Linked DNA regions of Drosophila melanogaster. The protein of the gene in region 2 interacts with the protein of the main gene of each other region in a biochemical or structural test. Each region holds a gene or a part of one and is shown on either strand. Other genes may lie near its edges. The genes, in order: DIP-zeta, dpr20 and DIP-epsilon.

Evidence for each region.
Region 1: the proteins of dpr20 (region 2) and DIP-zeta form a complex in vitro, tested with the Drosophila melanogaster proteins (one study listed by BioGRID).
Region 3: the proteins of dpr20 (region 2) and DIP-epsilon form a complex in vitro, tested with the Drosophila melanogaster proteins (one study listed by BioGRID).

What each region holds. Positions count from the first base shown.
Region 1 is NT_033779.5:9,067,418-9,073,710, forward strand, and holds the start of DIP-zeta (Dpr-interacting protein zeta), read right to left. Parts: upstream 3,748-6,293; 5' UTR 3,415-3,747; intron 1-3,414.
Region 2 is NT_037436.4:851,632-859,766, reverse strand, and holds dpr20 (defective proboscis extension response 20), read left to right. Parts: upstream 1-2,518; 5' UTR 2,519-3,096; coding exon 3,097-3,424; intron 3,425-4,723; coding exon 4,724-5,180; intron 5,181-5,356; coding exon 5,357-5,471; intron 5,472-5,623; coding exon 5,624-5,861; intron 5,862-5,919; coding exon 5,920-6,097; intron 6,098-6,161; coding exon 6,162-6,298; intron 6,299-6,361; coding exon 6,362-6,486; 3' UTR 6,487-7,047; downstream 7,048-8,135. Other genes in the region: Dci (Dodecenoyl-CoA delta-isomerase), read right to left, coding at 7,419-7,814, 7,874-7,993, 8,053-8,135.
Region 3 is NT_033779.5:6,407,510-6,413,901, reverse strand, and holds the start of DIP-epsilon (Dpr-interacting protein epsilon), read left to right. Parts: upstream 1-2,575; 5' UTR 2,576-3,075; intron 3,076-5,341; 5' UTR 5,342-5,518; coding exon 5,519-5,657; intron 5,658-6,392. Other genes in the region: CG13982 (uncharacterized protein), read right to left, coding at 1-479, 536-721, 1,044-1,198.

The DNA.
Region 1 (6,293 bases), on a different chromosome or scaffold from region 2:
AAAAAATACATTTCTTTTCCGACATATTTGATACTTGAGTCTGCGAACTTTATGAAATCTTGGAGAAATAAAGTTTCCATACCGCATGTGCTGACAGCCAAGTTTATGCCAATTAATTTAAATGCTCTTTTCATTTGTTGTTTATCTTAAGTTTTGGTTCTTTCACTCGCTTCCTTCCTCACCGAGCATTCGTTTTTCTTTTACAACTTCATTTTTGTCTATGCCGTAGTATCTTAAGATCATCTAAAAGAAATGTGCACAGTGTGCTTTGATTTTATCTGTACATTAACTATTTATGATATAATTAATAAAAAATCATATATATATATCATATAATTCACTTTATAAACACCACCAATATTTGACTAACTTCATAATTTGTATTAACATCTAATTGATAATATTAATTTAGATTGATTTTTAGTATAGACACTTTATTTTAGAAAATCGAATTTAAAAATTTTTTTAATTTTACTGGTAATATTTTCATTGGACATGTCGATATGTGTCTGATATTGTAGTTTAAATTCATAGGTCTTTGAAATATAGTTGTGTCACGCGCAGTCCTCTACTCTGGTTGCTGTTTCTTGGCCATCTCATTCAAAACTTTCTCTTAAAAATTGTATTTTTTATGGCTTTTGAGCGTGTCGCCTTCAGCTATTTAGGGGGTCCACACGCAGCTTGCGAAACACTTACACAGAGACAAAACTTTTTCCCTTATGACTCGCTTATGAAATTAAGCAATTTTGACTCCACCTCTTCCCCCAAAAACCACGCACACATGATAAAGCTTTTTTGGTATGGACCGAAACAGATTTACCATCAGAAACAAGAACAAGAAGTCCAACAAATTTTATGCACTTTTTTATGAGTTTGGCAAAGTGTTTGTAATTAAATTAATAAATTGTTGAGGGAGAAACTTGTTCCGAATGTGTTTTTCTTGTATTTTTATGCTAGGAAATTAAATTTTAATGGGGCTATTTAGTGTTTGTTTGGTTTTTGCTGTTTTTATAATGATAACTTTTTGGTAAAACAAATTGGCTTATAATTGTTGCGGGATTAAAGGGACTTAACTAAACGGGTGCGTAGATGAAAGAGACAATAACATTTATTTGTTTATGCTGACTAAGTTCATAGCCATTATAATATTTTTTATTGGGTGTTTAAATTTTCTTTTTAAAAGATTCTGTGTAAACGTAAATTAATCCTGACATAGTCATTAGCCCAAAAAAAATGTTCCTAGCTCTCAGGGGATTTCTCCTAAGCTTCTATAAATGCCTGACAGCTTTTAACCTTCATGGTTTTGTGGTAATTGAAGGGAGAAAAGAAAGCAGCACAAAGGAGGCCGAAATTGAATTAAGATATGTTTACCTATGGCCGAATTTATTTACATTAAAAGGTTCTTCAAAGAAGAAGCAAGCTAGAAAGGTTGTGCCTGTTACCTATCACTTATATTTTGGCAGCAAACAATACAAATACATGAAAATAAAATTCCGATTTAATTTGGTTTTATTTAAGGACTTACATCTCTCCCTTATCGAAAATTCGTTAGTTCACGTTACTATTTATTCGGATAATACAAGCTTAACTAGACTCAATTTAACTCTGATTTTATCTGGATAAAGTACTCTATTATATTTTCAGAAGTGCAATATAGAAACTAAATTTACCAAATAAACGCACCAATAAATATGCACTTATGATCAAAGCTCACACATATTTTCGACATCATCATCAGCAGCATCAAAGTTTTGCTATTTTGTTTGTTTTACTCTACACAATTTGTAAAGTTCCTGTAACTGCAAACGTCAAACCGAACTCGAGCAAACAAAACGCAACAAAGCTGAACTCAAAAAAGAATTCAAAAAAGATGGAAATAAATAAAGAACCAATAAGCCCTCTCTTCACTAGCTTTTGAAAAAAGTTCTGAAACAGCTGACATCCATGAGTTTCCCATCCTTCTTCTGCTCTGTGTGTTTACGTGTCTTACTCAAACTGTATCAGCTCCATATTGCCATTGATCTGCAATGATGCCTGAATGCAAAACATACCATTGTACAGTGGATACCCAACAAAATGAATCATTTCACATATGTTATAAATATGAAATAATTTAAATCTTAATTATATATTAAATGGAATTAAAATATTTGGACCATAAGAACCGATATATTGATATTAGTGGTGGATCCATTCTAAGTCTTGGTATATTGAATAAATTATGTAAAGTATTTTTACAACAATTTCTATTAGTTTCCAATGTTGTATACTGTAATTAAATATTTCTCTTTAATATTTTTTTTTTTTAATAAATTGTAACAAAATGCTAAGAAACGTTTACAATGAGCTTTGACAATATTCATACTCAAAGACTTATTCTGCATTTGGAATACAGTTGTGTCCAGTAACACATAGGCCCCACTGTACTCTCTGCGTTGTCTGTCTCTATCTCCTACTCCATTAAGTATGCAAGTTTTCAGCAGTTGGCAGTCGGGTCCTGGCCCTTTTCCCTGCATATCCTGATTCTCATGGATGCAGTGGGTTAATGTATTTTTAAGCTAAATTCTTTGTTTATATTTGCCTTGCTGTTTTCGGTTGTGTTTGTGTGTTGTGCATTGCGTTGCAGTGGCAACAACTGCTGTCCTTTATCAATCGCAACAAATTTCCCCTTCGACTATTTTTTTTGCGAGTTGTCCCAAAGTGAACTCTAGTGGATTCATTTATTCGCATATAAGTTTGTTTGGGAATTTTTCACAGATTGAAGAATGGCGTTGTGTGCGTGTCTGCCAGTTTTCGGGATTTAAGGACTTCGAGGGTCCTGGAGATAGTCTCGCTGTTTGTTTACTTTTTGTTGGCATGAAATGTGCATTAGCAGAGTTAACTGTTAATTGTTTACCCATTTCGAGGGCCTGACAAGTGACATGTGAGTTTGTGGTCTGGATTGTAGCTGTGGTTAACCATTAAATGGAGTTCAGTTATTTGAAATACTCGCACTAAGATAAATCGAAGTCTTTAATTGCATTTGAATGATCTGCAGTCCCAAACATAAACCTTTTACATTATATATTGTAATTAAGATTTTATACATAAATATAATATATAGCGTAACGAAACAAACGCATTAAACCAACTCCTTATTGCATTTTCAATTTTTAACATAGCTTATAATTACTTATCCTAACCGGCACTCGCACTTTTAAAAATTGTTGGAACTTTCGATTTAATATACTTCTGTCACTGATATTTATAAATAATATCTAAAGTTTGTTAAATTTAAAATTCCATATTTTTATAAAGTTTCTATTCTATTCTATGAATTATTAATAAAAAAGACTTTTCCGATGATCAAATTGTTCTTCTGTTTAAGACCTTAATAGTATGAATTGCATGTATTGAAATAATTAATTTACATACTGTAACTACAAGAATATTTTTGTGAATATTTAATTCTGTAGGTTAGTTTTGTGTTACGTATGATATACCAAGTTTTCAACCACTTTTACAAATTGTAATCTTTCAATAAAACGCTTACAAGTTTTGGTATTTTTTTAAATTTTATAATCAAGTGGACCTAAGTTTTTTAGCTCGACTTTTAAGTCATTTCTCAACACGATCACATTGAGTCAGGTGCTTCTAATTTGGCATCGATCACATGACACTTGAGTACGACTTTCCCTTTGCCGGGGATCTTTCAGTGTAACACCGATAAAACGCGTCCGCTTCGTGCAGAATCCGTAGCGAAACTGATTTGCCGACGAAACCTAATGCTCGCACAGAGCCGGGCTCTGGCTTTCCACCAACAACAATAAGGGAAAATCTAACGAATGGGAAGTGCTGTTACGTATACGCCGCGTTGGCCGAGTGATAACAGGCGGGGACGAGCCGACGGCCGACAGAGCGAGCCGAAGTGTAGCTTCGGTTTAAGCCAACCAAAGGACGCTGGATGCTGTTCATTGGTAGTTGTTGCTGCCGGTTGCTGGTTATGTCCGGTATCCTTGTTATGTTCGGAGGCTTGTTGTTTGCGTGCAACCGCAACCACAACAACAGACCGCAAAACACGCGACAAAAATGTTAACAGAGTCCAACCTGCAACACCATGCCCCAAAATCACCTCTCAAAGTTCGAGTTGCATGCCGATTCCGCCGTCGAACCTTTTTGGCTCGTTCCGGCTGAAGCTGTACCCTTTTAATAATAATTGAATTAAGATAAAATGAAAACAAAATCAAAACACATTTTTGCTTTCCGTTGGTTGCTGCATATTGCTATTTGGAGCCAAGTATTTAATTAGACAAGTTAATTAAATTTATTTGCATTTCATTTCAAGTCCATGTGCGTATGTTGAGCGAAAAAAGTGCAATTAATTTGAGATATTCAATTTGCAAGCGTTGCTTATTCGATTTTCGCTGATGCAGGACCATCTAATTGAGGGTGATAATTGCGTTTTATGACTGACTGAGCTAGCAAAGCTGGTTGTCAGTTGGTAGACGGTTAATTAAGAAGTTCTTTTCAAAGTTAACAGTGGTATTTTTGAATGGTTAGACAGATAATATTTTTAGTTACTTATTTTTTGAAGTATTTCATGATGATTTTATCCTATTAAATTAGGTGCACGAAAAAAGTTTTGCTATTTTTTAACTAGACCTTGTTTTAAGGGCACTGTAATCATCTCGACAAGCACTGGTCAGTTGTGCAGAAGGAAAAAAAAACGATGCATATCCGTCTGAAAGTTAGTCTATATATAGACGGATTGTATGCGATATGAGAGTGATGAATTCTCCCTGTTGGCCATACTGAACTATCTTAATGAACTCTTTCAAATCACAGACATCGCTCAATGCCAAAAACATTAAAACTGACAAGGCTAGACGGCAGACAAGATGACTGCTCTGTGACCCTCTCCCTGGGATTCCTCTACACACCACACACCCAAGGAGAAACGTGCACCATCGCTTGGCAAGTTCATTGTGGGGGGAATCCCAGAGGTGATAGGGCGGCGAGTGGGCGTGGTCGACTGTTGCGCCAGGATGTGACCAAAACAGGAAGAGTGGGTGGAGCGGGTGGATTAGGTGATGGCGAATGAGGAGGCGGAGGCGGAAAGGCCACAAAGGTCGTTGCAACACATTCGCTTCGTTGGGTCAAAAGTCAAGCGTTGGACGGGGGATCCCTTTGGATGCCAGCCATTACAACACTTTGTTGGCTGCTTTGTAAAGTTTTTCTCACCATGGAAAAAGTTTTTTTCTCTCTTTCCCAGTCTTTTTGTATTTTTCACGCCTTGTCCGAAAGTTTCCTGTTTTTCCCCTCTACTTGTTTTGCTATTTTTTCCCGCTGCCGCCTTAACAATGAAATTTTTGACTGCTGATTGTTTGCTGTTCAATGTTATTCTTCCAGTTCAATGCGAGTTTAAGTAGACAGAGCTAAACAAAATGGAAAAAAAGTATACAAAACCGGTCGGAAATATTGGACCTCCTTCTCTGGTACTTAGCCAAAGTCTGCAGCAAATTGAAAATGGAAAGTTTGGTTCCTGTTTTCCTGTGTAGATATATTCACAATTTCTTTTGCAGTTTGTCTGCGACTTTGGTTAAGTATGCCCTGCAGTCTAGTCTCTCTGCTAAGGACTGCCCAAATGAGGTAAAATAGTTTGGGGAATACTATCGGCAAAGTTTTGCCCCGGCTTGTCTGGTAAGATTTATATTTGGGATATTTGAGTTTAGGAAACAAAACAATACATGTACGAAAATCCGACCGAGTAATAAAACAAGATTAAAGATGAGAATCGAAAGTTTAATGGGCGGAGATTTGTAGACCCTTTTATGGCCAACAAACGTAATAACATCACGTAATTTTGAGGGTTGAAAAAACCGCAGGCTGACGTCGCATTTCCATTTTCCCAGCGGAGGCGAAAATGGAATGGATTTAAAACCAACTCCCCATAAGCATGCATTCATTTTTCCAGCAATTTTCACACTCAAGCTGGCATGCACTTTGCTGCATCTCCCCTTGATGCATCCCCTCGTTTTATCTGACAGCTGCACTTACGCAATGTTACGCATAAGTGCCCTTTAGCACCTAGCAAGTTGAACATTTTTTATTTCACTTTTTCTGGCAGTCGATGAGGGCTTATTATACGAAAAAACATTTGTGCATTCCACCCACTTAAAAGGAAGGACAGATTCGTTTTTAAGATGTTCTCTGTTCCCAATAATTTTCAACACCTAACGTATGATGTTTGAGTATTATTCAGGTGTCAAGCTTAGTTTAATTTAAATTACATTTTCTTTTCATTTATGTAAGGC
Region 2 (8,135 bases):
CAAACGGGGTTTGATTAACGGATTGGGGAGTCTAGTAAAGGTGGTTACCGGCAACATGGATGCCAACGACAATAAAGAAATACATGAAGAACTTGACAATATAAAGAAAAATTCCGAAGTCAGTAACGACAATCTCCAAAAACAAGTAATGTTTAACAACGAAATACTTATCCGGTTCGAAAATATCACGGACCATATAAATAATGAACAAATTTTGATAAGTAAATTCTTTGATACCTCACAAAACAAAATATACAAACACTTAAACTTACAAGATACCCTTCTGGAAGAAATACAATATTTAAATAGGATTAATTATAACATAGAATTATTCATTAACCACCTAAACGACATAACAGAAAGTATGCTATTGGCGAAAATAAATATAATTCCCAAGTTCATCCTAAATGAACAAGAAATGGATAAAATAAAAACAATACTGGAAAAACAAAATATCACAGTCAAAAATGAACAAAGTATATACAATTTCCTACAAATGAATACACTAAATTACGAACAAAAGATTATTTTTAATATCAAAGTCCCAATTTTTAAACAACCTTTTCATACCCTCGCCAGACTAGTTCCATTACCAATAAATAACACATATTTTGTAATAACCCCAAATTACCTAGCTTATAATATTAATAATAAGAAATTTCATATGACCCGTAAATGCCCCAAACTGGATAATACATTCTTGTGCGACGAGAACTTCTACGTTGATACACCACAGAACAACACATGCCTGGAACACCTTTTGAACGGAGAAAACAGTTCCTGCGATGTACGGGAAACCGGCCCCATCACCGACGTGTTCGAGGCAGAGAGAGGTTACATCTTCGCATTCAACGTGAACAAACTGAAGGTATCCCTAACAAACGGCTCCGAGCTCTCAATAATGGGGTCAGCCATCATCAGATACATTAACGAAACAATACAGATTAACGGTATCGATTACGACGGCACGGTTGACACGTTCCCTGAACAGACGGATTTTGATCTTCCCCCCATGCGAAAAGTAACTAGGAATACCACTATTACGGTACTAAGCCTAGAAAAACTGCACCTCGAAGCCACCCAAACAATGGATAAAATCCTGGCCGTCCATCACAATACTATACAGCACACCTGGACACTCTACACTCTGCTCGGATTGGTAACGTTCCTAGCAGTCATCTTATGGCTGCACCGACGAACGAAACACATCGTCCACATCCACGAGGATCATCACGTACCAATCTACGCGTCATCCATACCTTCGCTATGGCCGTCACTTCGAACTGGGGGGGGAGGAGTTACCACCCCACCCCCTAAACCCCCACGCCTCTAAACAAATCATCGGACACTCAACCGGGAAGACGGCAACTGGAACACCGCATCCGGCCGAATGCTGACATTCCGGCCGAATGCTGACATTACACAAAAGTCGCACTGCAACATTGTCCCCAGCTAGCCAGCCACATGCCGAGTCGGCATGTTCATTATGCTTACAATTAAGAACCTATGTACTTATGTATAAGACGAAAACGGAGGACTCGAGTAGCCACTCTCTGACAATAAACTTCATACTGATTTTGAACTTCAAGAAAGTCAGTCGTATTCTTTATTGGAAATCTTCACACTACAACTATCTGCTGAAACTTAAAAACCTTCATACATTTACACATCATATCTTCACAAAAGGCTCCACCCTCGATCACGGACTTAACTCGCGCGTCTGATAAGACGAGGTTCGTCTGAAATGGAAGTCCGAGATACCAGACCAGAGCCACAACAGAGGCCAATCATCCCCCATGCTATCCACTATAACAACTCTTCAGCGAGTTGGTCTAAATGGACAGTGAAGACCCACGTTGACTAACTTCTTATCATATATCGTTGAGAGTTTGAAGCCTAAGAGACATATAATACTTTGCGTGCCACAATGTTGAATCTTCATTTGGAACTTCGTTTCTATAACCTTCTGCTGGGGAAAAACAATTAAGGGAGGTTATACTGTGTTCTAAATAAGTGGCGCCCTCTGGTGTAGCACAGCACATTTATGGAAAGTATGTTATACTCGCTTGCTTTACCATAATTTTTACTTCTATAAAAATTTTAGAAACGAAGAAGCAACTGCTTTATGGAAATTGTTCCATACGTTGCGAGTTCCAAATAGAGGTCAATCCAATATACCCATATACATCCTTATTAATCAATCTATTATGATATAGATACATTTTTTATCCCATAAATATAGTCAAAAAATAATTTATGTCTGATTTTGATACCTGATAATGGTTATATACCTTATCAATTGACTGCCTTGAACTGCTTATTCCGAAACGAATTCCCCCACATAAGCACCCCTCGTTAACTCCGAAAGGTGAGTCCTTTTAAAAGGACTCCTAGAGACACCATAGAGGGGAAAAACTTAACGAAACAAGGACATGCGCAGATGGGAAAAGAGAGAGATCATCCTGTGGTGAAGCCGAGCACAGGACGAGCAGGACATTAACAACAATTGGGACCCAGTTCCTTAAGCAGTCATTGGCGAAGCCTTCAACCGCGTAGACGTTCTTCGCAAAGAACCGGATGGACGAGTGATCCGTACTCCCGATTTCGACCAAGTCGGTGTCGTCTATTTGGTGCGTGATGCAGTTCGAGCCGTCACTGCGACCTGCCTTCGTTTCGGTGCAACTGAAGAATGCATGAGGATTAGGTCCGCTGCCCAATGCATTTCCCTCAGATCCTGTCCGGATTCAATCCTTGTGTCCTTGTTCCGTTCTGTGTCCCCTGTGCATATTACAAACGGTGCATTACAAGCGTGTGCATCAGTGAGCCCCGAAAGTGAATGAATCCCGAATATGATTCGAAATCGTAACGATCGTTCCTAGAGCACATGTTAAGCTAATCAATAAGGATATCCCTGCTGTATGTGAAATTAATCAAGTTGATATCTACGTGACGGCCAAACCAAAACGAGCAGGCAAGAAAAGACAAATGGCCAAAGTGCGTGAGACGCCATAGGTGACCCCAAAAAGGTGACCCACAAGAAGGGGAAATAGTCGAGTCCAATGCAGTTTGTTAGAGCCGACTACTTGAGATTGCAAAATGCGTTTGAATGAACCAGCTGCAAGAACGCGACCCAGAACTAAATCAACGACAGACGCCACCAAGTTCTCATCATCCAGGGGTGACCTTCACCTCGATTGCGCCGTGCCCAACCTGATCAGGCTGCTCCTCCTCATCGCAACGATCATGGGCTCCGGACTCGTCCAGGCCAAGACAATTTACGACTCGGTTAACATGATTCAGTCGCTGGATGCCTTGGTTGAGCCACGGGAAACGACCAAGGTTCCGCTGCAAACAACGCCAGCCACGCCCCCCACTGCCCACGCCCACATCCACAACCAGGTGTCCACGTTACGGAGTAGTTACGGTAGGCAAATTGCGAAATTGCTACCCGCTAGCTTTGCAATGCGGTTAATGCATAATTATATAATTGGTTTTCAATTATCCTGCTGACTCAATTGCTTCGCAGCCATTGTACGTGCAATCATCGTGTCCAAAATGCCTTCTGGAATTTCATATACCCTTGATTTAACCACATGAAAGGAGACCTCTTTCAGAAACTGAAACTTATGGTTTCCGAAAGGAGGTCAGCACATAATCAAGGTTTTTTAAGTGAAATGAAAGGGGTTAAAACTTCAAAAAAAAAACGCAGAAGTTGAAATTGCAAGTGAAAGTGATTAAAGATTAAAGTAATGTGTCTGTTTTTTGGGCACAGAAAAGCCCCACAACATTTTAAAGTTTATTGGTGCGTGAAAAATATAATAATAAACTAATAAAGTGTCTTTGATTGAAAATATTATGCAAATTGTTTTTGTATAAATTGAATGACAGTTTGCTGTCAAAAAGTTCGCTGGAAAAAATGCTCATATTAGGAAATACTATTTTCCTAAGTATTTTCAAACATTTTCTATGAAGAGCCGGAAATGAATATGTATAAAGAATATAAAGGATTTGTTTTTGATAAATTTCTCTAAGTTCCAAGGAAGTTAATGAATTTACAGTCCAGTTAATAGTTTTTAAACTTTCACTTGTTTGTTCATTTTACTATGACCCAAAAATTTCCGAGTTTGAAGTTTTTTATTTGCAGAGGCAAAGCACTTAAAGTTTTAAACAGTAAATTAAATTTTGTGCACAGAACATTTAACTTTCCTAAATTTCAATACATGCGATGACTGCGAAATATTTATTTGTTTAGCTTTGGCGTAGTAAACTAAACATTTGTATTGTCCCAGTGTATTCGCAACGAACAAACAAACTCCGCCACAAATATCGGCCAACTTGGCATTAGCATATAGACATATAGCTATAGATACAGTGGGGGACAAATTAATAGGGGCGACAGTCGTATTGTGAACATGACTATTGTTATAAAAACCATAAACTATGTTTAGTTATGGTATAGCTGGAAATAGAATGCTAAAAAAAGTTACGTTTTAAACTCAAACGATTTTTCATTTTTCTTTTTCTGTGTATCCTTCAATTGCCAAATGGTCCCAGTAAGAAAGTAAGAATAAATCATCCTTAAGTGTAATGCTATTTTTGTGAACATAGCTGTTCGCACACTTGAGTGGTTGAGCAATGTCATCAATTGTCTCGCCCACATCTCCTCCTCTCCTCCCGCAAAGCCGAAACATAGATTTCACTAAAATCAATAACTCCTTTGCAGAGGATTCAGATGATGGCGTAGATGGCGATTATGTCATCCCAGAGAGCCAGACATCTACGGTGGCGATCCTGGATCAGGATTCCTCCATGAAGGGCCAGGACATGGAATCGTTATCCCTGCAGGCAGGATCGGGCACAGTTTCACCAAAGAGCAGCCCCGATTCGTCCGGACACAAGAAGAACGCCTCCTTCCAGCAGATTGGCAGCCAGAATGTTAACGCCTTAGTGCCGGCCACAGTGGCCACCACTTCATCCGGCCTCCCGTCGAGCAGCAACGCCTCCTTGGCCACGCCCACGGAGCCGGCGAGGAACCGGAGCACCGGACTCGTCCGCAACTCCGCTGTCAAGGTGGACAGCAAGCATCCACTGTCCAAGGGCCAGAAGACGGACGCACCCATGCTGAACTACATCTTCGACACGTTCTCTTCGGCCAATAAGCACCATCATCACGATCAGAGGTGAGTTGGATAAAATCCCTGAAAGCCATAAGATCTTTATTAAGTCCACATCAGCAGTAGCAGGTTATCCATCGTTTTAAACGAGCTTAGTCGGATTTTAGAATCCTTAAATTTCCTTTTCTATTTAATTAAAAAAAAAAAGATATAAAACGAGCTGATTCCGTGATTCTGTGCAGGTATGGCCCCCACTTCGAGGATGTGCAGCGGATTGGTCAGGCCACCAATCTCACCGTGCAGGCGGGCTCCAGCATTCACCTGAACTGCAGGATCTCACTGCTGCAGGATAAGACTGTGAGTTTAGATTATGAGATGCTATTCGAATTGAATCGAATTGAATGATTTTTCGGGGTCACCATATTTAGGTTCATTACTTAGTCTCAAAAAGATAAATCCTTTTTAGTTGGTATAACATAAAAATGTATGTTATTTAACTTTAAAAACAGGTCTCTTGGGTGCGGCACAACACGCAGGACGAGGGCAAGGACAATGGCAACGCCCTGGACCTGCTGACAGTGGGCATGCACACGTATACGGGTGATAAGCGCTACAAGATGGAGTTCCAGTACCCAAACAACTGGCGACTGAAGATAACCAATGTGAAGAAGGACGACGAGGCTATCTACGAGTGCCAGATCTCAACGCATCCGCCACGCGTCATTCAAATCAACCTGCACGTTAATGGTGAATATCCAACTCTCTGATGGGTAGCAAGAAAGGGATTTAGTATGCTTTAACACAGCTCCGAAAGTGATGATAGTGGACGAGGTGGGTGATCCGCTGCAGGAGAAGTACTACGAGATCGATTCCACGCTACAGCTCTCCTGTGTGGTGCGAAACGTGGCCATGACCAGTTCCGTGGTCTTCTGGAAGCACATGGACAACATCCTTAACTACGACGTTACTCGCGGGGGAGTGAGGTGAGTGAATTTAGCTTGGTCGGGGTCACCATCAGTAAGGTTCATTTATTACGTATCCTCGCAGCGTCAAAACCGAACTGATGGAGGATGGAGCCAACTCGACGCTCTCGATAGCGAAGATCAGTAAAACGGATTCCGGCAACTACACATGCTCCATCAGTGAGTTCCAGAACTTCACCATAGTGGTTCACATTCTGAACGGTGAGTTGGTGTAGAGTATTCATCTAGAGTAGGAACCCATATCATATCAGCAATCTCTTCCAGGCGAAAGCTTCGCCGAACTGCATCATGGTGGTGCGGTTGGATGGCACAGCACGTGGTGGAATATGGTGATGCTGCATGCAATGGCACTCCTTGTGCTAAATAGTCTAAGGGGGGAGTTTAGCTAAGGTAGCTTAACTAGGACTAGGTAAATTGAGAGAACATCGTTCTCCCGTAGCTCTTTTTGTTGATTAATTGTAAAGTTTTTGAATTTGGAGGGGCAGTTATTGGAAATAACTTAAAACGCAGCCTAAGTTTAACTGGCTATTATAGATATGTTTCTACGTCTATCATCAATTTGTACATGAGCAGGCACGCGTAGGATTAAGCTAGGATTAAGGACTAAGCTCGAGTGTATTTGAAATCCGGAGAGAGGCCAACGAATTTCCCTAGCAGAGTGTCTCACAGTCAGAGTTCATGGTCTGGCCTAGATCTAGATCTATATAGATCTAGTTGATACAGGAATGTAAAGCGTAGTGTAATCTAAGTCACCACCAGTTCATAATCACGGCTTGTGCGGCAAGGATCTCAGAGCTCCTGGGGGAACTACTCACTCAATGTTGAACTAGTATAAAGTGCAATACGGTCATATACATATTATATACATACACACTCGCGGCAGAAGCATCAAAGGATATGTTAATAAACGAATACTCGTATGTACGCAATAATAAAGTGAACTATACATGAATCCAATTTGAATTTCGCAGAAGGGCGGGAACATCGATGGAATTTAAAATATATTTATATATTTATTCATATATTACACATTCTATTATCTTGACCACAGCTGTGCGATTCATTCACAAACAGGTAGGTGGCGTTCTTCAATTGTTTTTAATCAGCACTTTGGCAATATATTGGTACATATGTACATACACAGATAGTGCAAGAGATTAACCTATGGTTATGGTGCAAAAGGCACACATTATGTCCCTAATCTAATCGCTAAGAAGTCTATTTGCTTTGATGTTTGTGCCACAAGAATTAGCATTCATATCTCTTGGGTTTTAAAATAGGCGGACAAAATCACTGAGACGGTAATAAACTTAAGCCGTATTTATAATTTCGCCTTGTTTTTACGGCTGGCAAAGTCTATGATGGCCTGGGCAAACTCGGGATGCTGGAACTGTTGGAGCAGCTGCTTGCACTCCGCCTCGTTGGCCTTGATGAGATTCTCCAGGAAGCCATCCTTGACGAGGCGTTTCCCCTGCAGAAGGGAGTTCGTCGGCAGCTCGGAATACTGACGCAATTTGGGCCAAATCACCGACTCCAATTCGCTGGCCTTGAAGATCCTCGAAACAAAGTTGAACTGATATGCCTCCTGGGCGCTCAGCGGTTCGCTTAGCAGCAGGATTTCCGACGCCTTTGAGCGCCCCAAGATGAGGGGCAGCATATAGGAGGAACCGCCCTCTGGCACCAATCCCAGTTTGGTGAATGGCGTGTAGAAGTAGGTCTGCGATGGTATTTATCAGTCAAGTCATGCTGCCATAGCAAATTTGAGGCAATACCCACCGTTTCGGAGCACCAAGCCACATCGCACAATCCCACAATGGTGGCTCCAATCCCAATGGCAGGTCCGTTCACCAGGGCAAGCACAATCTTTCTGCAGTTGACGAAGCTCAGAACCATGGCCTTCAAGTAGGGATTGGATAAATTATAAAAAAATGAAATGGGATATACAGATGTGCCACCTTGAAAGTCGCATTGGACTGCTTGAAGAAGGCGTCGATGTCATCGGTATTGGAGGATTGGGACAAGTCGTTGCCGGACGTAA
Region 3 (6,392 bases), on a different chromosome or scaffold from region 2:
TATCATCCAGATTGTCATCCTCCAGACGAAGCTGACGCTGCTGCTCTCGCTCCTCGTCCACGTCCCATTCCAGCGACTCTGGCGTGGATATGTGCGACCAGGAGTTTTGCGTAGACGAACAGCACGAGTTCCGCGTGAGCGAACCTCCGTGGCGCTGGCAACTCAGTCTGGCTTGGCGCGCCATGTGTCGTCCTTGGCTGGTGGCCATCGCATTGGCTGCCGCCAGCTGGTCTAAGGATGCGTAGCGCGGCTTTGGTGGCGTTGGTGGCAGCTCCTTGGGCACCTGCTGGCACTGGTACTGATACTGCCGCAGCTGTGAGTACTCGTGTTCCCACTCGAGATCCAAGGAGGAGCTGGCCCGCGAGTTGGCCATGCGCTGGTAGGCTCCAAGTCCCATCTCCGTCTCCCGACTGGGCGTGGTCTGGGCGTTGAGCAACTTGCCGGCGTCCAGGTTCTGCATTTGAATGTCCGCCATGGCGCTGCAAGGATTAAGTTGGTTTTATTTCTAGGAGGCACCTTAGGAGACTTAACATACGTGGTCGGCAGCTTGGCGTAGCTGGGCTGCTGCTCCCAGTACTTGTCCAGGAAGCTGGGACACTGCTGCCTTTTCTTGAGCCGCAGGATGCGGTAGATGAATCCGTTCCGTTGGCAGCGCTGCCTGGTGGTCCTCGATAAGAGATCTGCCTCTGGATCTTGTCTTCCTGCAGATCTGTTCTTTCGCCTAGAAGATGAAAGATACCACTTTTTATTAAAGATGTTTTTAATAATTATTATAAAGTAAAAGCTTTTGTTAACTCTTAAAGAATATCACATATAACTAGTATTTACTGTTTACGTATTTGGTTGCAGTAAGCACCCACTTGGGCGGGAAGCCCGCCTGTGGCACATTGTTTTGTGGCAACCAGCGGCCGTTGCATAGTTTTAGGCTGTTGACCCCCAACTAGCCAATTCCACCCCGTGCTTAGCCACTATTGATTGGTCAGCGGATTTGCGCGCGAACGAAAGTCAGCGGAGTTGAGCTTCAACTAATTGGCCCCACTCACCAGAGCCAGCTGTTGGCCACCCAGGACGTGGGGGGAGTTGTCAGTGAAGACGACGTCGAGGAAGTCGAGTGGGTGGTGGAGTCGGACGTTGAGGTGCAGGCGGAGTGGGCTGGTGCGGCGGCAGCTGTGGCACAGCTGCCAAGGCATGAACCCATGGAGAAGGGGCTGCTCCTGTCGCTGCTACAAGATCCTTGCTGGCTTCGATGCGGCTGCACTTGGCATTTCACGTCACTTTTTCGCCAGCCAGGCGCCACATTTCATTACGCTCGGGTCAAGGCTCCGCGGTGATGGCCCCTTCCCGTGGGCTTTCCGATTACCCTTTTGGACTCCGGAGCCCCTTTCAACGCAACTCCACACACTCCGCGGCACAGAGCGTAACTGTTTTTCATGCGCCGAGTGCGTCGACGTCAGTGAGTGACGGTGACGCCCCCACGCTTTCTTGGCTAAATGCTCCGTAAGCCTAGTGACGGAGTTTCTGTTTGGCCCTGCAGCAGTTGGGTGGTGGGTGGTGGCCACCTTTTGAGAGTCAGCTGTTTCGACTGAGTGTTGTGGCTTTCGCGTTTTGCGCTGTCAAGTGGCTAAAGTCAACAGGAGAGCAAAGCGTCTTGTGACAGGAGCTTTCGTCACTACTTAAAGCTTAGACGGACGCTCAAAGTTAATAAATTCACGGCACGGAGCGCTTTCGACTAGCAGTAGCTTTATCAGGGGTAATAACGGGAAATGTTAGGGTATTGCAGGACCGACATGATGAAGCTTTGCTTGGGGTGTAAAATGGGAAATGTTAAGGCTTGTAGGACCAAATTGTGTGAGCTTTGTTAGGGGTTATAAAGGGAAATGTAGAGCAAAGAAACCAAGTTCTTTTATAAATTTCTCTTTAATGAAGTTTGTATTGCAGCATCCTCTTCTTAAGATAGCGATGTTAACAGCAAGCTAAAGAAGTCTTGCCTTTTGAACTCTGACATTTATGGTCACAGAACTTGGAAATGCGTTTGCAGTCCCTAGCTGTAAATGTGTTAAAGTGCTAAGCTATTATTCCATTATGCCCGCTCAAAGACCAAGTAACAAATGTTCAATGATTAGCGAAGATGAAAAACATGTTTTCACTGTAAGACAGATGAGGGAGTTTTGAGGGATAACTCAAAAATGCTTACACAAGTGATACGCCCTGCTCTATTATGTTCAGAAAGAAATAATACGTTTCTTTATTTAGCTCACATATGCACATACTAATACTGGAAATTCTGCGACCTTTGGCTTTTCTCACATTTTTTCTCTCACATGATGAACATAAAATTTAACCCGCCGCATTAGCTGACGGAACGGATAGTGGAGTGGTGCATTAAAACACTCGGCGGATCGTTGGATTGATTGTTCGCTGTTTTCGGGGCTGTTAGTAGCAGAAAGTGCTGTTTGGCTCTGCAGCCAGGGCTATAAACATATGTAAGCTAACATAAATCACGGCCAACCGCAACATTTGTTTATCTTTTTAACATGCCGCAGCCGAAGTGAATCGCACGACGGGATGCTGCTGCCAGTGTGAAATCGGCTGTCGTTTCGTTCGGTTGTCGTTAGTCTGCGGTACCGCATCCGCATCAGTATTCGCAGTCGCAGTCGCAATCGCTTTTGAATCCCGAACCCGAATCGGTAACGGTATCAGAACCAGAATCGGTTTCGTTAGACGTGCGTGGACGTGGTCTTTCTTATTTGCACTGGCCAAATAGTTTAAAATAGTATTTTCGATTGGCATTAGTGGCGGCGAATGGTTGTTGTAAATCAACTGCTGTGAGTGCTTTTATTCGATATCCCATGCCATTTATGCACCTCCGCTGCCCACCGGAGGAGCTGCTGGCTTTGTGACGGCGTCTGTGTGTCTGCCGCGTGGTCCCCTAATTTAGTTATGTTGCAAAAACGGAGAACGGCAGAGGGAAACATGAAAATCCGTTGTTATGTTGTCTCGCTGCTCTATTTATAAATTGATTTGCTGATTCCTGCCGACATCTGACGCCCCATCCAGCAGCCAGACATTGCCACGGTGAGTTATTAGTTTCTGGAAGCAGGGCGACATCGGATGGAGGAGAACGAAGTTGCAGATGGGGCATCATTGAATAGTGAGTTCGCAGGATGGCCTGTTTAGGGAGCTGCATCTTTTACAAAGGATCCTTCCGAATTGGTTTACATCTGCTGGGAGAAGCTGTGCAGGCAATTGATTGCACTTTGAATGTTTCATTAGCCGGCTTTCAAAATAATGCGAATTGTATGCAAATCTAACTTCAAATTTAATTTTCTTTTTGTTTCATTTATGAAACTAAGTACTAAATGCGTAGCAAATTATTATTATTATTTACATGGCCAATGGCATCCTCGTAAAGACCAATATCTACTTGTTTAAATTAAACCATCCTCTGTCTTTATTTCCAACTTAAATTGTGCGTTTCCAGTTCCCGCGGCACAGTCTGACTCAGATATTTATATATCTTCCTGACGGCCGTCTACGTGGTGGCAATGTGCACCGAAGTGCAAAAGCCGGCTACTATATATGTAAACAAACGTGCAGAAATCTGCAATGATTGTCCGATCGAAAAGATTAATATACCGTGGAATGAAATCGTTTTAAGAGGTAATACGAATTTACGATGCGCTGTTTGCGGTTAGTGTGAAATTGAAGTTTTATGTTCACTTCAGTAATAAATAAACACAATCGTCATTAAAAAGTTAGCTCTAAAGATCGAATCCTTTGGGTGACACAAGCACTTGGTTGAATTCCCTGTGCTGTGGAAAAGAAAAGAAATAATAATTATAATTAAATAATTAATTTCATTTTGATTGATTGATTCGGTTCGGTGTGATTATAGTGCAGAAAGGAAGCACTCCTTTCTCATGCTATACGTACTTTTACCCGAAGAATACGATAGAAGATTTCTGCGCCACGGGCTTGTTGCTATTATTCGTTATTCATTTTTGCGTGTGAAAGGAAATGTAAATTGATTTATTATGCAAAAGCGAGTAAATGCTCCCTAGGAGACGGAAAGACAGAGCAGAAGTCAGACCGGCGGAGCATTCACCGCTGGCTCCTTTTCATCATGCGGCTACATCACTTCGAAGATGTGGGAAATATCCTTTCTGTCTGCGGGGCACAAACATTGCTGTTTACAATGATTTAAATGCATTACGAATTCACGGTCCATTTACATTTCGCGGTTAGTTCTATGGATGCAACAATCGTCGTCGCGTGAAAATACACCAGACAATACATTTTGGTGTACCAAACTATCACGTATTTATGTCATTCATACAATAATACATATATTTTTGACCATCAGTTGGTTGCTTATCAATCAGGTGAACTTTGGGTCATTAACGCTTAAATCTAAAAAACACATTTTATAAGAAACAAAATTGAATCTTATAAGATGTCAATGGTTCACTAAAATCTTCCTCAGCATAACGTTCAAAATCTTTGTTTAGATATCACAACCAAAATGAATGTTAAGTCGGCCGGCTTAGAAATCAATTAAGTTTGCAATTCGGTTTCAATAACCCTTACTTAATGGAAAATCCACAACAGCTGTCCCCAAGGAGGCATTCTAATTGAAATGCATTCATATTGCAATAGAATGAAGAAATTGACGAGACTGGAAGGACCTCCATGGGTTTACTTGACTGCCGTAGCCGGAGTGTAAAACAACAGCTGACAGAGCAAATTGCTTTTCGCTTATGACACGAGCAGGAATTAAAAACAAGGAAAAAATTCTTCTATGCATGCATGCAGCAAAACAACCACGAAAAGGAAGCTGATAATTCTGATGGTGACGATAACGTTGTCCCTGGCATTTGAACGGATTTGAGGTCGTTCGGAGACTTAGGGTTCGTCACTGCTCTGATATCTTCCTAATGCTGATCCTCTTTATTGAAAACTCCTTAATCCGTGAAAAAGATGCAAGCCAGGTGTGGGTCTGGTTAAAATGGCTCATAAAAATCTTAAGCATAAAAAATGGTGTGTCCGCTCGTCTGTCCGTATGTATGATATACAAAATCTCTTCAACTATTATAAATTTGAAAGCTTAGATTAAAGTTTATAAGATATGATTAAGTACGGTTGTAATCAATAAGCCGTGTAAAGGGTATGGGATAGCCGTGTAACACGAAAACAGGTCTCATTCCTTGCGGTAAATGGAAAATTGAGCAATGACAAATTAAATGTACACTTAAGCCTAAAAGCATGAAGCCATGTATAATTTCTTTTTTTTATTAATATTTTCATCAATAATGGCAACCTATAATTTCTCCTCATATTTCAGGGGTAGCGTGCATAAAAGCCAATCGCAATTAAACGTTGATCGATTCCAAAAGCAAACACAACATGAGCCGGAATATACTGTAATGCTGCACAATATTTGTACGCAATAAATAATTAAGTTTTCTTAATTGAAAAGCTAAACAACGGTAAAAAAAAGGGGCATCAAACTTACAGCAAAATGGCATACCACCTCGAAGCGATTTCTTCGTTTCTGTATGTGGGCCTTGGTTGCCTGATTGCCTCCTCTGTGGCACTAAGTACAGATACTGGAAGTGAAGGCAACGCCGGTAACGTCGGTGGCTCAACCCTAAATAATGGTGAGTAAAAATAATATTTAGGAAATTAATGTTATGTCCTTTATTATAATTATACTTATTGTATCACGAAAGGAAAACCAAAAAATTCTGTTTAAAATTATACTTCATTCTATAGCAAACAATATAGTTAAAATGTTTGCTGCAGATTGCTCTTTTTTGGGGTTTTTAAATGCAGGGAACGATAATAATAAGTATTTGTATTAATCAAATAAATGGACTTAATATGTGCAATCATCATTCTCTTTTCAATTTGTAATTTATCCGGAAAAGTAAAATATTGGTGCACTAAGCTTTATTCAATTAATGGTAAATAATGATGATTGTAATTTTAAATGATGTAAACAATTCGATTTTTATCATAATCAGATATTCTGCGCTATTTACTTATAATAATAAGGGTTTTATGGTAAATAGCATGGTCCACCTATTTATTACTTTTAGTGTATAATATTATTGCTGGGGGTTGTGTGATTTGACTGAACTCGACCATATCATGTAAACATATCATTTAAGAATGAAAATGCATTAAACATAAAACGCCTCGTTTGATTCGAAATGCTCTCAAAAGGAGCGCGAAAAAATGTAAAAGAACAAATAGTCGAATAAATCTGCACAATCTGCTCCTCAAGTTTGCGGCCTGCAAATGTAATTTTCATTAACGTTATTAATATTTTCATTGCTCAGTATTTTACGTAGCATACTTCCTTTCCCACTTTAAATACCCCAGAACCACCC